Linked DNA regions of Stegostoma tigrinum. The main gene of each other region encodes a partner of the protein of the gene in region 2 in a complex. Links are inferred from orthologs where the notes say so. Each region holds a gene or a part of one and is shown on either strand. Other genes may lie near its edges.

The links. The genes of interacting proteins can lie anywhere in the genome.
Region 1: sarnp (region 2) and thoc7 share a complex: the UniProt entries of both Homo sapiens proteins name them as parts of the transcription/export (TREX) complex. The link is inferred for Stegostoma tigrinum from reciprocal best matches to the Homo sapiens genes SARNP and THOC7.

Annotation. Positions count from the first base shown.
Region 1 is NC_081364.1:48,290,495-48,298,267, reverse strand, and holds the start of thoc7 (THO complex subunit 7 homolog), read right to left. Parts: upstream 3,256-7,773; 5' UTR 3,196-3,255; coding exon 3,156-3,195; intron 929-3,155; exon of another isoform or gene 805-928; intron 1-804. UniProt on the Homo sapiens protein: Component of the THO subcomplex of the TREX complex which is thought to couple mRNA transcription, processing and nuclear export, and which specifically associates with spliced mRNA and not with unspliced pre-mRNA.
Region 2 is NC_081404.1:18,536,823-18,545,274, reverse strand, and holds the start of sarnp (SAP domain-containing ribonucleoprotein), read right to left. Parts: upstream 3,415-8,452; 5' UTR 3,316-3,414; coding exon 3,277-3,315; intron 1,710-3,276; coding exon 1,610-1,709; intron 1-1,609. UniProt on the Homo sapiens protein: Binds both single-stranded and double-stranded DNA with higher affinity for the single-stranded form. Specifically binds to scaffold/matrix attachment region DNA. Also binds single-stranded RNA. Enhances RNA unwinding activity of DDX39A.

The sequences.
Region 1 (7,773 bases), on a different chromosome or scaffold from region 2:
TATTTCTAACAGCACAGAAACTACCTATTCAGCCCAATGTTTCTGCTCCATTAAAGCTTCGTTCTCACCTATAACCTTACCTAAAGGCAGCACACCCTCAATATGACGTTGGAGCCTCAGCTTGAATTGTGTTCAAGCAGGATTAGAGGAGTTTACAATGCAAAGAGAAATAATGCTTAAATTACTCAGATTTAATATGAACAAATCACATGATTTACATCCTGAGCAAAGCTAAAGAAAAATGTAACTGAGAGTCACAAAGACTGTGACTATGATTTCCAAAATCTTGCAGGAAACATTAACAGCACAAGAGCAAAGCAGTCAAATAATGCCTCTCTTCAGCAGAATGGATTGAGAAACGCCAGGAAAATTACAAGCTATCTATTTTCACTTCAGTTCTTAGCAAACTCATGAAGCCTACAGTAAAGGTTGAAATTAACACGCATCTGAAAAAAAAAGCAAACACCCAACATTATTGCTAGTCAGCAAGTACTGCTTGATAAATAGGTTTGATAGGCAAATTCCAATATATAAATGATGTTCATGAATGCACACATGGTAATTCGTTGCCACACTTTTTTTTAAAGTTACAATGCACCTAAGTGGCACTATAATTCAGCCATCAGGTATCTATTATATCTGTGCGTCATTATACTGCCAGTCTGGCCACACCACAATTTGAAAAATAGCTTATCCTTGCTTTCACGTTTCTCAGTTTTCCACCTCTCCCTGTGTCTACAACTTCTGCCAGAACTACAATCCTATGAGATCTCATTATTTTTCCGTATTCTGCCTTATGCACACCTGATTTTAATCACTCCACCCTAAGCTCTGGAATTCCATCCGTAAACCATTCCAACTCTCTCCTCCTCCTTTAAGATGCTCCTTAAACTTGGCATAAAATCAAAATAGCACAGCTGCTGGAAGTCTGAAACAAATACAGAAAAAGTTAGAAACACTCAGTATGTAAGGCAGCAGAGAAGGGAAGAACTGGAAAATGTTAGAATTCCTTAGAACTTATCTTTTAAAGAAGCATTTGGTCACCTGTCCTCATACCTTATGAGCTTTGGTATCAAATTTTGATAATGCTCCTGTGAAGCACCTTAGGACAGTTTATGATAAGTATAATAAAGTTCAAAAGTGACAAAACTCTGTGCAGGAGGGAATCTTAAACATCTGAATTTGCATCATAGATTTAGTGCATATGAAGTTCAATTCAAAAGTCTCTAAATAGTTAACTGAATTATTTGGTGAGATTTAAACTTTTGTCAATGATCTTTTTACAGTTAAGACTAAAATAATTCAACATACTTGATATATCAGACATTAATAGCACCTTTATGGGGAAAGGGTAAAAAGGAAAGATGGTTTGGGATCTGAAGATAGTTAAGTATGGAGGAGGTTGAAAGGTGATCTTTTGGAGGTTTGTAAAATCACGAGGAGTATAGAGATAAGGTTAAATGTAGGTATCTCTTCCCTGGGTCATGCATTTCAAGATTAAGGTGCATATTTTTAAAGATGACAGGGGAGAGATTTACAAATGACATGGAGGGCACTTGTTTTAAAAACACAATAGGGTGGTTCCTGTGTGGAATGAACTTCCTGAGGAAATGGTGAATGTGGGCACAAATAGAACATGTAAAAGACACTTAGGTAAGTACATGAATAAGAAAGGTTTGGAAGTATATGGGCCAGGAACAGGCAGGTGAAACTGGTTTAGTTTGGGATGACTTTCGGCATAAATTGGTTGGACCGAAGCATCTAGTTTTTCGTTTTCGTGCTGTACGACTCTATGAATCTATAACACATCTCTAGATGAAGAGTAGACATTTTAAACAACCTGTTCAATCATGTCTGGGACAGGTGGGACTTGAAAGCAGGTCTCCTAACTCAGTAGTACAGGCACTACCATTGCACCACAAAAAACCCTGCTTAAAAGCGTAACATACCAACAGAGCTATCTGGGTTCACTTGATGTCGGGTATGCTGACATCCAGAGTGTGTCAGCTATTTAGTTAAAAGTAATTACTGCACTAAGGTATAGCAAACAAATAAAAGAATCAGCAAGTAAAGATCAGAATCATGAAGTTATTCCCAGGGGTGATAAGAATAGGATTTTGAGCAAACAATGCACAGTCTACTTCATTAGGAATAATTTGTAGAAGGTGGAGGCAAGATGGGGAAAATACTAGACAAGTCCAGCCTCAAGCATTTGCATTTGGTAACAATAGGATAAAGAGTGTCAGAAATAATGCAGTCTCAACAGAAGGTGGGAAATGATGCTTATCTTTGCCAAGCATAGTTGTACGACCAAAGGTTTGAAAGCAACCAGCTGGTAAGTCATGGCCAAATGCAAATAGATATTGACTAAAGTGAAGACAAAGTTTTTTTTGGCTTTGCTAACATTAAACGTGGAGTACATTTTGGCCACGATGAGAAGCAAGAGCCTTGAGATCAAGGGAAGAACGTGAGGAGTAAAGGTGACATTGACCTATGTATGGAAATTGTCCTCACACTTCTCGGTTATAGTTCCACAGAGCAGTGTCTGACCAATTTCTGAAGAAGGGTCTAGGCCAAAATGTCAGCTCTCCTGCTCCTCTGATACTGCTCAGCCTGCTGTGTTCATCCAGCTCTACACCTTGTTATCATGGATCAAAGAAGGATCGGGGAAGCTATAGACGCCATCATCAAGCCATATCAACTCCGCCCTTCTCGTAAAGGCTGGGACAGATCCTTCTCTTCCTGTTGATTGTAAATGTTTATTTGCAAAGTGCGGGTGTCAGGGATAGGTCCAAAGCAGAACAGAGTGAAGGGCCCACTGACCATATCCTCTGCTGCTCCGCCCTCAGTTACTGATACTTTGTTCTCTGGCAAGGTCCCTACTCCACTCCCACCTCTGCGAACTACTTGGTCTCTTTAAAACTCCATCACATAACCGACTGCCTGTGGGTTTAACCGGAACTTAATCAGAATCATGACCCGAGGATCCAGCCGGCAGAGACCCGGGCTCCACCAGCACGGACCGGCTGAAACAACAACGAGCCGATTCAACACGACAATCGCACCGCTCCCCCAACTCAGTGCCCGAAAGCAGGGTCCAGGGCCCAAGCCTCAGGTCCAGGCAGCGCACAACTAGGAAAGGAAACAGGCCCTACCATCAGTGACCGACATGGCGGCTCCAGGCCGAGCAAACATCCGCGGCGCACCAAGAGGCGGGGTCAGAGGTTTGGGAGGTGGAGTCAAGGTATTTGGGGGTGGGGGGTTTCGGGAGGCGGAGTCATGTTGACGTAGAGATCGGGAGGCGGAGTCCGGGGGCGAGTGGGGAGTGGAGGTATTTTATTTATTATTATCGTATGTCGTGCAGGTAGATCGTACGACAAGGGTACTGGACCTGAGAGGAATACAGTATTACGGCTGTAGAGAAGGCGCACAAAGAGAAAGGTCAACATTAAATTTGAAAGGTCCATTCGGAGTCGAATAACAGCAGGAAAAAAGCTGTTCTTGAACCTGCTGGTACATGTGTTTAAGCTATTGTATTTTCTGCCTGACAGAAGCAGTTGGAAGAGGTTATAACCAGGGTGGGAGGTCGCTTTGATTATGGTGGCAAGCCTCTCCAAAGCAGTGAGAAGTGTGGGTAGAGTCAATGCGTGGGTCATTGTCTTGTGTGATGGACTGGGCATGTTCACAACTCAGTCATTTCTTATGGTCATGGGCACACAAGTTGCTGCACCAAGCCATGATGCATCCAGATTGAATGCTTTCTGTGGTGCATCTGTAAAAGTTGGTAAGAGTCTTAATGGACATGGCAAATTTCATAGAACATTACAGCACAGTACAGGCCCTTCGGCCTTTGATGTTGTGCCGACCTGTCATAGCGATCTGAAGCCCATCTAATCTACACTATTCCATGTACGTCCATATGCTTGTCCAATGATGACTTAAATGTACTAAAAGTTGGCGAATCTACTACCGATTGCTACTTCCTTAGCCTCCTGAAGAAATAGAGGCATTTTGTGTTTTCTTGACTGTCACATCAACGTAGATGGACCAGGACAGATTGTTGGTGATTGTCACACCTAGGAACGTGATGCTCCCAATTATTTCCACCTCATCTCCATTGATGTAGATGGTGGCATGCCTTCCATCTTGCTTCCTGAAGTCAATGACCAGCTCTTTCATTTGGTTTGAGGGAGAGATTGTTATCTTTACCCACACTACTAAGCATTCTCTCTTACTTGTATTTTGCCTCATCATTGTTTGAGATCTAACAGTGGTGTCATCAGCAAACTTGTAGATGGAGTTATGATGAAATTTGGCCACACTGCCGTGCGTGTAACAGAGAGTATAGTAAGGGGCTGATTACGCAGCCTTGTGAGGCACCGGTGTTGACGATTGTTACGGAGGAGGTGTTGCTGCATTTTCTCATTTATTGCGGTCTGTGGGTCAGGAAGTTGGGGATGCAATTGCAGAGGGTGGAACAGAGACCCAGGTCTTGGAATTTAGAGATTAATTTGGTTAGAATTGTAGTGTTGAAGGCAGAGCTGTAATCAATAAGTGGGAGTCTGACATCGGTAACCTTGTTGTCCAGATGTTCCAAGGATGAGTGTAGTGCCAGGGAAATGGTGTCTAATGTAGACCTGTAGGGACAAAAGGCGAATTGCAAGGGATCAAGGCAGCCTGGGAGGCTTCAGTTTATATGAGCCATTGACTATGGAGGTCAGAACTAGAATACCTAGATGAGTTTGCCACTACCGATACAGACTTCATAAGCAAGTGTATAAACGACTGCATGCCAAAAAAGGCAATCTGTATGTTCTCCAACCGGAAACGATGGATGAATCATTGAGGCACTTTGCATGAATTTTCCTTGGCACTGGGATGATGGTGGTCTTCTTGCAGCAGTTGGGGATTTCAGATTGTACTAAGGAGAAGTTAAAGATGTCAGTGATTACTCCTTCTCCGTGAGTCCCGATGAAGGGTTTTGGCCTGAAACATTGACTTTCTTGCTCCTTGGTTGCTGTGTGACTGGCTGTGCTTTTCCAGCTTCACGTTTATTGGTTCCAGCTTCCAGTATCTGCAATCCTGATTGTCTCCAAGCTAATTCTTCCACTAGGATTTACACGCAGGATCCAAGTGCACAGCCGGGGACTCCATCTGGGCTAGTCACTTCTAGTGGGTTTACTCTCAAGAAGGCCGAGCTGACAGCTGCAGCGGTGACGGAGGGAACACATGCATCTGAGTCTATTGGGGCAGGTGACACCGTTTCGCTGGCCTTCTGTTTGAAACGAGCATAAAGTGCATTGAGCACAGCAGGGAGGGGTGTATTTTCATCAGTTATTAATTCTGCTTCATTTTGTAGCCTGTTGTGTTGTGTAGGCCTTGCCACAAATGGTGGGCGCCTGTGTGGTTAGTTTGGGGCTCTAGCTTAGTCCGATATTGCCTTCAAGTGTCTCTTCTGGCCTTACAGACGTTCTATATGGACTTCCTGTAAAGGTCAGGGCCACCTGACTTGAACTCGACACACTTGAATTTCAGTAGGCAATGGATCCCCGGCTCATCTGTTGTTTCCACCTCGGGAACATTCAGATTCACTTCTTTGGCACACAGTCCTCTACACATTTGCTAATGAAGTCTGTAACAGTAGTGGCGTTCTCATCTAGATATATTCATCTAGGAGGATGACAGAGGGAGGGTGTGAGGGAAGAGGGAAGGGAAGTGTTATTGATAGAGGGAAAGGACAAAGGGGGAATGACCAGAGGGAGGGGGCGATGAAGGAGGGGAGGGGAAGTAATACAGGGAGAGGGTAATGACAGAGGGAGGGAGTTAACAACAGAAGGTGGGGAGACAACAGTCGGGGGCTGGAATGACAGAAGGAGGGGTTGTCAGTGGTTGGGGGACATGACAGAGGGACAGGGGTTGGTGATGAGGGAGGGGGAATAACGTCAGAAACCAAAAGACACACAACCAAAGTTCTCCTTCACCAACAAGTGACAATATGTACCAAAATGCCTTTTCGCACAGCCTAATCAACAGTCTCTGATGATTATGCTCGCCAAATCATGTGTTACAGCCAGTATCCCAGGCTCTTGATCACTATCCCTGGATCAGTCCAACACAAGCTGCTAATTACAACCTACCACCCTTCCCCAGTTGGCAAATCAGTGCAGGTCCATGTTGGAAGCTATTTCAAAATTAACAGCTCTTTATTAAAAACAAAATAAGTGAATTAACGGTATAAATAGCAGTTAATGGGTATTGCCTTGTTGGCATCACACAGACATGGTTTCAAGGAAATCATTGCTGGGAGCTAAATTTTCAAGGGTATGTGATTTTTCAAACAGACAGAAAGAAAAGGGCATTTGGGATTTTTAAGAAGAAATGGAATAAGTACAATAGCAAGAAATTATCTTGAATTGATAGTTGTAGAGTAGGAACAGGACTAGACCATTCAGCCCCTTGACCCTGCTCTGCCATTCAATAAGACTATGGCTGATCTATAGCCTGATTCCATATGCCTGCCTGGGACCCAAAATCTCTTGATACCCTTGCTTGTTAAAATAAATTGTCTCTGTCAGATTTATTAAATTTAACAATTGAATTAGCATCAAACATCATTTGAGGAAGACAGTTCCAAACTTTATTACTCATCACATATAGAAGTAGTTTCTAACATGTCTCCTGAATGGTCTAGTTTAATTCTTAGACTATGTCCCCAGTTGTTGAACCTGCAACCAATGGAAATAGTTTATCTTTATGAAGACCTTGAGTGGATCACCTTTTAACCTTGAAAATTCTAGAAGGTAAAGGCCTAATTTGTCTAATCTCTCATCATAATTTGAATTCCTGAAGTTCAGTTATCATCCTTTTAAACCTGTGCTGAACTCCATCCAGGGCCAAAACATCCTTCCTAAGGCATGGTGCCCAGTTCTGCTGACAGTACTCTAAATGGGATTTACCAAGGGTTTTGTATAACTGCATAAAAACAAAAAGAACTGTGGAAGCTGTAAATCAGAACAAAAACAAAGTTGCTGGAAAAGCCCAGCAGGTCTGGCAGCATCTGTGAAGGGTCACTGGACCCGAAACGTTAATTCTGTTTGCTCCTTCGTGGATGCTGCCAGACCTGCTAAGCTTTTCCAGCAACTTTGTTTTTGTTTTGTATAACTGCAGCCTTACGTCTGTATCACCATATTTCGGCCCCTTAGTATGAAAACCAGCATTCCATTACTCTTCTTGACTAAATTCTGCACTTATTCGTGGCATTTTAAAGATCGATGCACCTCAATCCCTAAATCTCATTGATCAGGCAATGTATTTAAATTTATGCCTTATAAAAAAAATACCCTTGTCTATTCTTTTGCAATCCAAAAATGGGTAACCTTGCTTGTATTAAAATCCATCTGCCACATCTAAATGGGTAGAAGTAAGAAACAACAAGGGCAAGAAAAAGCTGATAGGGAGTAGTCTACAGGCACCCTAATAGACTCTGTCCTATCATTTAGCTACTTTAAGGAGATAAAGACAGCATCTAAAAAAGGCAGTGTGTTTATCACGGAAGATTTGAAATGCTAAGGCACACAAAGCTATCAGTCAAGTACTGGAAAATGGGATTAGAATAGTTAGATGCTTGTTTTTGACTGGCAGAAAAGTTATGGGCCAAATAACCTTTTTTTGTGCTGTGGATCTTTATAACTATAAAAGAAGAGGGGGCAGTTGCATGGAATAACAGAGAATGGGAAGACGAAGGAGGGGAATATGGTAAGCGGGAGACAGAGA
Region 2 (8,452 bases):
AGCCAAGCCCTTAACAATACTGCAGTCCCAGTCTACATCTGGAAAATTAAAATCCTCTACCATAACCATTGGAGGGGTGGTGGTGGTGGAGTGGGAATAGCCATGAAGCCACTGTCAATTGTCAAAAAATCCCATTTGTTCACTAACGTCCTTCAGGGAAGGAAACTGCCATTCTGACCTAGTCTGGCCTACACGTGACTCCAGACCCAAAGCAATGTGATTGACTCATAACTGCCCTCTGGGCAATTAGGGATGGGCAATAAGTGCTGCCTAGCCAGAAACAGCCTCATCCCATGAAAGAATGAAGAAAAAAGTGTACACTTTAACATCATATAATTAAAAAATACACAGGAAAAGAATCACATATAGCAAACTGAAGGTTAAACCAAAAAAAGTTTTAAAAAGCCTGTAAACCTGAATTATAAGTGGTAATTTTCAACAGAGATCAGGTACTGAAATTGCAGTCTAATCTGAATGCCTGGCACTACACGACACAAGGACAAGATGAATACAGTACAGGGAAGTATCTTGGCCTACTTTAGAACATTCTAAATAAGTGTGGAGGTATTTTCAATGAAAGTCTCCAACTGCTTCTACAAGTCAATTAATTTCAAAATATTTGCATTAACTATCATAAATGAATGCCAATTTGTGATGTCAATTATTATCGCAAAGTCCTAAACTTGCCTTTCACTCGTTTGATAGACAGAAGTGAACCACTTCCGTGGAATACGTAGATTTATTTAATCTACACACACAGTGCACCTATTTTGTTTCCAAAAACCTGAATCAGAGGGGGTGTGCACATTGCTCAAGGCGCAACTAGATACACATCTGCAAAAAAAAGTCAACTTCAAGTTGAAGGGAAAAGATAGCAATTAATCAGTTAACTACAGTAATTGTTGAAATTACAGCAAAACTAAAGCACAAAATTTAAGACTCTCAAAAAAGTGGTAATCAAATAACATAAGGATGCAACTCAAGCACTCTGATCAACTGACACAGGCTGGCGCTTTTCCCCCAGAGCACTGGCTGAGGTTTATAAAATCATGTGGGGCATAGATAGGGCAAATAGACAAGGTCTTTTTCCCAGGGTGGGGGAGTCTAAAACTACAGGGCATAGGTTTAAGGTGAGGGGAAAGATTTAAAAGGGACTGAAGAGGCAACAGAGGGTGGAGCATGGATGGAACAGGCTGCCACAAGAGGTGGAGGAGGCTGGAACAATTACAATATTTTAAAAAGACATCTGGGTGGGTATATGAATAGGAAATGTTTAAGCGGGGAATGGGCCAAATGCAAGCATATGGGACTAGATCAGTTTCGGATATCTGGTCATTGAGACAAGTTGAACCAAAGGACTTGTTTCTCTGCTGTATAATCTCTGACTCTCTAACAAAGACAATTACCTGTAATGGCAACTGTTTCATCCAGCACTCAGCTAATTTATTATTCTGAATTCTATGTAATAATTTGTAAAATACAATCTTAAATGTGCCAAAGTCAGCATATGTATGGTAATGAAAGAAATCCACAACTCTTCATAAATTCCTAAGTAATTTTATTTATTAAAAATAAATTGTTTGAGATTAAATATCCATCATGATTTTACCATGTTCTTCCAGGTAAGCCTGCAGTCTCTGGATGAGATCTTGCTTGTTTCCTTTAGTATCCAGCTCCCGTGAAGCACATTCTTGTCTCAGTTCAGTCAACTAAAGCACAATGAGAACAAACAAATAGTCAGAACCATGGAGGTTTTCAGTAAAGAAAGGATTCAGGAAATTGGAGTGGACTACATGGCTGGGTCAGCCTGCTTCATTCATTACAATGCGGTTGATCTTTGGCTTCAACTCCCTTTCCTGGTCGCTCCCCATTCCCTTGATTCCAAGGCATCAAAAATCCATCTATCCACAAACCTTCACAATCCTTCAAGTGAAGCAATTTCTCCTCAGCTAGCCCCAAGTAGTTACTCTCTTATCCAGAAAGTAAGCCACCATGTTTTTGGCTCCCCAATCAGTGAAAATAATCTGTCTACCCAGAGTCTACTCAGGATCTTGTACCTTTCAATGACAGCGCCTTTCATTCTTTTCAACTCTGGTAAACATTGCCCAAACTATTCAGTCTCAATACAGGACAATCCCCTCATCCCCATGACTGATTTAGTGAACCTTTGCTGTACTGCCTCTGCACACAAGTATAATCTCCCTTAAAAATGGAAATTAAACTGCACATACCTTGTTTCAAAACCATGTTCAATTAAAGCAAGGATTTGTTTGCTGCACTCCAATCCTCAAATAATAAAAGGACATGCCACTTGCATTCTTAATTGCTTGCTGTACATGCATTTCAACTTTCTACACTCCTTGTACAAATCAGCCCCACATTCTTTGAAAATCAACATGAATTTCACATCTTTCCTTTTCACATTTATGCTAGTTCTTAGCTGAATCAATCCAAAACCATTCCAGTAACTTCACTTTCTTCTCACAATCAGTTACCTATCCCAAAGTAATCCCAGTACTGTTCTCCTTATGGGAATTTAAAATTGACAACCCATCAATTGTGCAACGATAGGGTAGCCTTTTCTGACTCATAACACTAGGATCCAGTGCCAATTTAAAATAAAACTTTCAAAATGGCTCAAGTTCTTTGCTCCAATTTCTGCGTCCTGCGTTATAAATTTCCCCAACTTCTATGAGTGCGAATCTACAGAATTTTGCCTTCAATGTACATTTTAAGCACCCAGAAAGATGGTTTAGCAGTGGATCAAGCAACGGTTTGTGCAAGTTAGCTTTTATACAGCTTCCTTAGTTACAGCATTTTTAAAAAAAGACTGCTTTTCTTAAACGTTTCGTCCACTTGTTCAGATGTTCGTGGAGCCATAACCCATTTGAAATATCTTTAGAACGGAACAAACAGCCCCAGTTCAGACCAAATAACCGTGCGGGGGCACGGTTTCCTATTTCTATGTGATCCATGGGCGGTGCACTTAGTTAATCGGCCATTCCGGAAACTTATTCGTTTCCTTTCAATGTGACACTCAAAACACGTCCCACACGACTAAGCTGCTTAAAACGTTCGAAGAATGTTAGACTAGCACGGGGAGGAAAAAGCAACCCCACCTTCAAGAGGAGGGAAAATATAGCCCACTCTACGGGTCTCCAGAGGAGAATTTCTGAGCAGAATCGGAACAGAAAAAGTGAAGTACGTAATAGTCACTAAATCACAAAACCTTCGCTCTAACGGCGAACACATTATCCCTATCTAAACTCCCTTTACCTTCAATTTGCTGATATCCACCGCCGTTCTGTCCGCCATCTTGCCAGACTCTTACCCGCTCACCACCTATCCAATAGGCATCCGCCTTACTCACTGATCAACAAGCTACCTCACCATTGGCTCAAAAGAGACAGGGGTGGGTGTGTTCAATATGCCGTTACTATCGGAATAAGGAGAAAAAAGAAATAAATTAATACAGCAAAAACTTACAAATATATTGCCCAACGTTTAACAGCAAATACTAGTTAGATTGAAATTTTAAAATTATGCACAATTATGGTGAGAGCGATGACAATAAATCCTATGGAAAATTATCATACGCGACTCTTGCCAGTGAGTGGTTTGGTGGCCATCTTCATCGGAATAACCACCAGATATTCAGTAATCTTCAAGGATGAATATCAGAAAGGAGAGCTGTTTCTGCAATTGCTAATCCATTCATCTTTGTTTATTTGTGTCAATGAACAGAAAATTGTGGAAATGGCAAGCACAGAAAGGAAAACCTTTTACCAAACAGCCTGTCGTGTTTTTTTTGTAAAGATTGTACGTGTGCAGACCTGTTGTACATTTACGTTTGCAAGTGGACCAGTCTTGTGAGAACATTTGGCGATGTTTTTAATTGAGTTACCACTTCTGAACTGGATAAAAGTTTGAAGCTGAATTCTTAATGCATGAGTATCAGCACTTGGAACCTGTGGGCTTCGGAACGAAGCTTAATCTTGTCCTTATGTACTGTCCAAACCTATTCCCTACCACAGTTCACTGGAGAGTGATCAAAGGGAGCAACTCTGACTGATACCTCCCTCCGTTGCTTCGGGCTGGTGAGGCCAATTTTAACCCAGTACTTCGCTATCTGAGGTCAAACAACTCATTACAAGCTGGGGTTAATACTGGGACCATTTGGTCATAAGACCATAAGACACAGGAGTGGAAGTAAGGCCATTCGGCCCATCAAGTCCACTCCGCCATTTAATCATGGCTGATTTCAACTCCACTTCCCTGCACTCTCCCCGTAGCCCTTACTGCCTTATGAGATCAAGAATTTATCAATCTCTGCTTTAAAGACATTTAACATCCCGGCCTCCACTGCGCTCCATGGCATTGAATTCTACAGGCCCACCACTCTCTGGCTGAAGAAATGTTTCCTCATTTCCGTTCTAAATTGACCCCCTCTAATTCTAAGGCTGTGCCCATGGGTCCTAGTCTCCCCACCTAATGGAAACAACTTCCTAGCGTCCACCCTTTCTAAACCATACATTATCCTGTAAGTTTCTATTAGATCTCCCCTCAACCTTCTAAACTCCAATGAATACAATCCCAGGATCCTCAGCCATTCATTGTCCGTTAAACCTACCGTTCCAGGGATCATCCATGTGAATCTCTGCTGGACATGCTCCAGCGCCAGTATGTCCTTCCTGACATGTGGGGCCCAAAATTGGAACAAGTATTCTAAATGGGACCTAACTAGAGCTTTATAAAGTCTCAGAAGCACATCGCCGCTTTTATATTCCAACCCTCTTGAGATAAGTGACAATATTACATTCGCTTTCTTAATCACAGACTCAACCTGTAAGTTAACCTTTAGAGAATCCTGGACTAGCATTCCCAGATCCCTTTGTACTTCGGCTTTATGAATTTTCTCACCATTTAGAAAATAGTCAATGCCCGTATTCTTTTTTCCAAAGTACAACACCTCGCATTTGCTCACGTTGAATTTCATCAGCCATTTCCTGGACCACTCACCTAAACTGTCTAAATCTTCCTGCAGCCTCCCCACCTCCTCAGTACTACCTGCCTGTCCACCTAACTTCGTATCATTCGCAAACTTCGCCAGAATGTCCCCAGTCCCTTCATCCAGATCATTAATATATAAAGTGAACAGCTGCGGCCCCAACAATGAACCCTGAGGGACATCACTTGTTACCGGTTGCCATTCTGAAAAAGAGCCATTTACCTGAACTCTCTGCCTTCTGTCAGACAGCGAATCCTCAATCCATGCCAGTAGCTCACCTCAAACATCATGAGCCCTCACCTTACTCAGCAGCCTCCCGTGAGGCACCTTATCAAAGGCCTTTTGGAAGTCTAGATAGATAACATCTACTGGGTTTCCCTGGTCTAACCTACTTGTTACCTCTTCAAAGAATTCTAACAGGTTTGTCAGGCATGACCTCCCCTTACTAAATCCATGCTGACTTGTCTAATCTGACTCTGCATTTCCAGGAATTTAGAAATCTCATCCTTCACGATGGATTCTAGAATTTTACTAACAACCGAGGTTAGGCTAATCGGTCTGTAATTTTCCATCTTTTGCCTTGATCCTTTCTTAAACAAGGGGGTTACAACAGCAATTTTCCAATCATCTGGGACTTTCCCTGACTCCAGTGACTTTTGAAAGATCACAACCAACACCTCCGCTATTTCCTCAGCCACCTCCCTCAGAACCCGAGGATGTAGCCCATCGGGGCCAGGAGATTTATCAATTTTTAGACCTTTTAGCTTTTCTAGCACTTTCTCTTTTGTAATGCCTACCATACTCAACTCTTTCTGGGTGAAATTGGGGACACAGTACAGAGGTTCATCCCAAAGAAATGAAAGATTATCCGGCGGGGGTGGGGGGGAGATTAGACAGCCATGGCTGACAAAGGAAGTCAGGAAATATATCAAAGAAAAAGAGACAGCCTATAAAGTGGCCAAGAACACTGGGAAATCAGAAGATTGGGAAGGCTACAAAAACAAACAGAGGATAACAAAGAGAGCAATAAGGAAGGAGAGGATCAAATATGAAGGTAGGCTAGCTAGTAATATTAGAAATGATAGTAAAAGCTTCTTTCAATACATAAGAAACAAACGAGAGGCAAAAGTAGATATTGGGCCGCTCCAAACTGATGCTGGAAGGCTTGTGATGGGAGATAAGGAAATAGCTGAAGAACTTAATAAGTACTTTGCATCAGTCTTCACAGTGAAAGACATGAGTAGTATGCCAACAATTAAGGAGAGTCGGGGGCAGAGTTGAGTACGGTAGGCATTACAAAAGAGAAAGTGCTAGAAAAGCTAAAAGGTCTAAAAATTCATAAATCTCCTAGCCCTGATGGGCTACATCCTTGAGTTCTGGGGGAAGTGGCTGAATAAATAGAGGAGGCGTTGGTTGAGGAAGCCTGCTCCCTTGTGAGCTCCATCACAAGCTGTTCCAAAAAGCCATCCTGTAAGCATTCCATGAATTCCTTTTCTTTGGATCCACCAGCAACATTGTTGACCCAGTCCACCTGCATATAGAAGTCCCCCATGATCACCATGACCTTGCCTTTCTGACATGCCCTATCTATTTCCTGGTGCATCTTGTGCCCCTGGTCCTGATCACTGTTAGGAGGCCTGTACATAACTCCCATTATAGTTTTTTTGCCTTTGTGGTTCCTCAACTTCACCCACACAGACTCCACATCATATGACTCTATGTCATTCAGTGCCATAGATTTAATTTCATTCTTAACTAACAGGGCAACCCCGCCCCCTCTGCCCACCTCCCTGTCTTTTCAATAAGTTGTAAATCCTTGGATGTTTAACCGCCAGTCCTGAACTCCCTGCAAACACGTCTCTGTGATGCCTACCCATCATAATCATTCAAGATGATTTGTGCTGTTAATTCACCTACTTTGTTGCGAATACTACAAGCATTTAGGTAAAGTGCCTTAATGCAAACTTTCTTATCATTACTAGAGATATTTAAGTGGTACCTTTATGCATTTTCTCACAAAACCATTGGAGAGCTACTGTATTAAATGCTAAAACTGTAAGTGGCAGCTGTCCTAGCTGATCTTAGCCAATTTCCCTGCACTGGGGAGGAGGAAAATCAGAGAGGATTCTGGTTTCTAATGCCACAATGCCTGACATATTGTAATTTCACCTCAGAATAGATGTAGTATATTGTGAACTTCTCAATGTGGTTGCTGCCCAATGTCAGCCTTGACTCAGTACACTCTCACCTGTGTCAGGAGGTTGTCAATTTAAGCTTCACATGAATGCATGGCTCGCTGCAGTATTGAAGCTGCTGTCTTTCAATGTCCTATCTGCCCACTTAGGTGATCATAAAAGATCCCTTGGTACTAATATAAAGAACTAGAGAGTTCCCCTGATGTCCTCATTAAATATTTATCCTCAAATCAACATCTGCTGGATATTTGTGAGCCTTTACTGTGCAATTTAGCTGTTGTGTTTACAACGTTACAGCAATGACTACACGTCAAGAATATTTAATTGGCCGTGAAGTACTTTGGAATGACCTGTGTATACAAAAAGCACTTTATAAATGCGAGTGCTTTTTGTTGTGTTTCATTGGCTATAAGAGCAGGCCTGAAGCTAGGAATACTGCAGCAAGTAACTCACCTCCTGTCTCCTCAAAGTCTGTCCACCATCTACAAGGCACAAGTCAGGAGTGTGATGGAATACTCCCCGCTTGCCTAGATGGGTGCAGCCCAAACAACACTCAAGAAGCTCAACACCATCCAGGATAAAGCAGCCCACTTGATTGGCACTACATTCACAAACATCCATTCCCTCCACCACCGACACTCAGTCGCAGCAGTGTGTACTATCTACAAGATGTGCTGCAGAAATTCACCAAAGATCCTCAGACATCCCCAAACCTATGACCACTTCCATCTAGAAGAACAAAGACATCAGACATATGGGAACACCACCACCTCCAAGTTCTCCGACGCGCCTCTCACAATCCTGAATGGGAATATATCACCATTTCTTCACTGTCGCTGGGTCAAAATCCTGGAATTCCCTCACTAGTAGCATTGTGGGTCAACCTATTGCAGGAGGACTGCAGCAGTTCAAGAAGGCAGTTCACCAACTCCTTCTGAAGGGCAACTAAGGGATGGGCACGAAATTCTGGCCAGCCAGTGACACCCACATCCCACAAATGAACACTCCCATTTATGAGGTATGTTTCAAAACTACCTGCAGTAGCACTCTTGCTACCCTAATATCACCATTTCTAACATAGAGTCATGCAGCACAGGAACCGATCCTTCAGTCCAACTCATCTGCCGAACAGACATCCCAATTTGACCTAGTCCCATTTGCCAGCATTTGGCCCAAATCCCTCTTAACCCTTCGTATTCACATATCCATTGTAGTGATTGTAATGTGGACAGCCAGGTGGACTTCACAG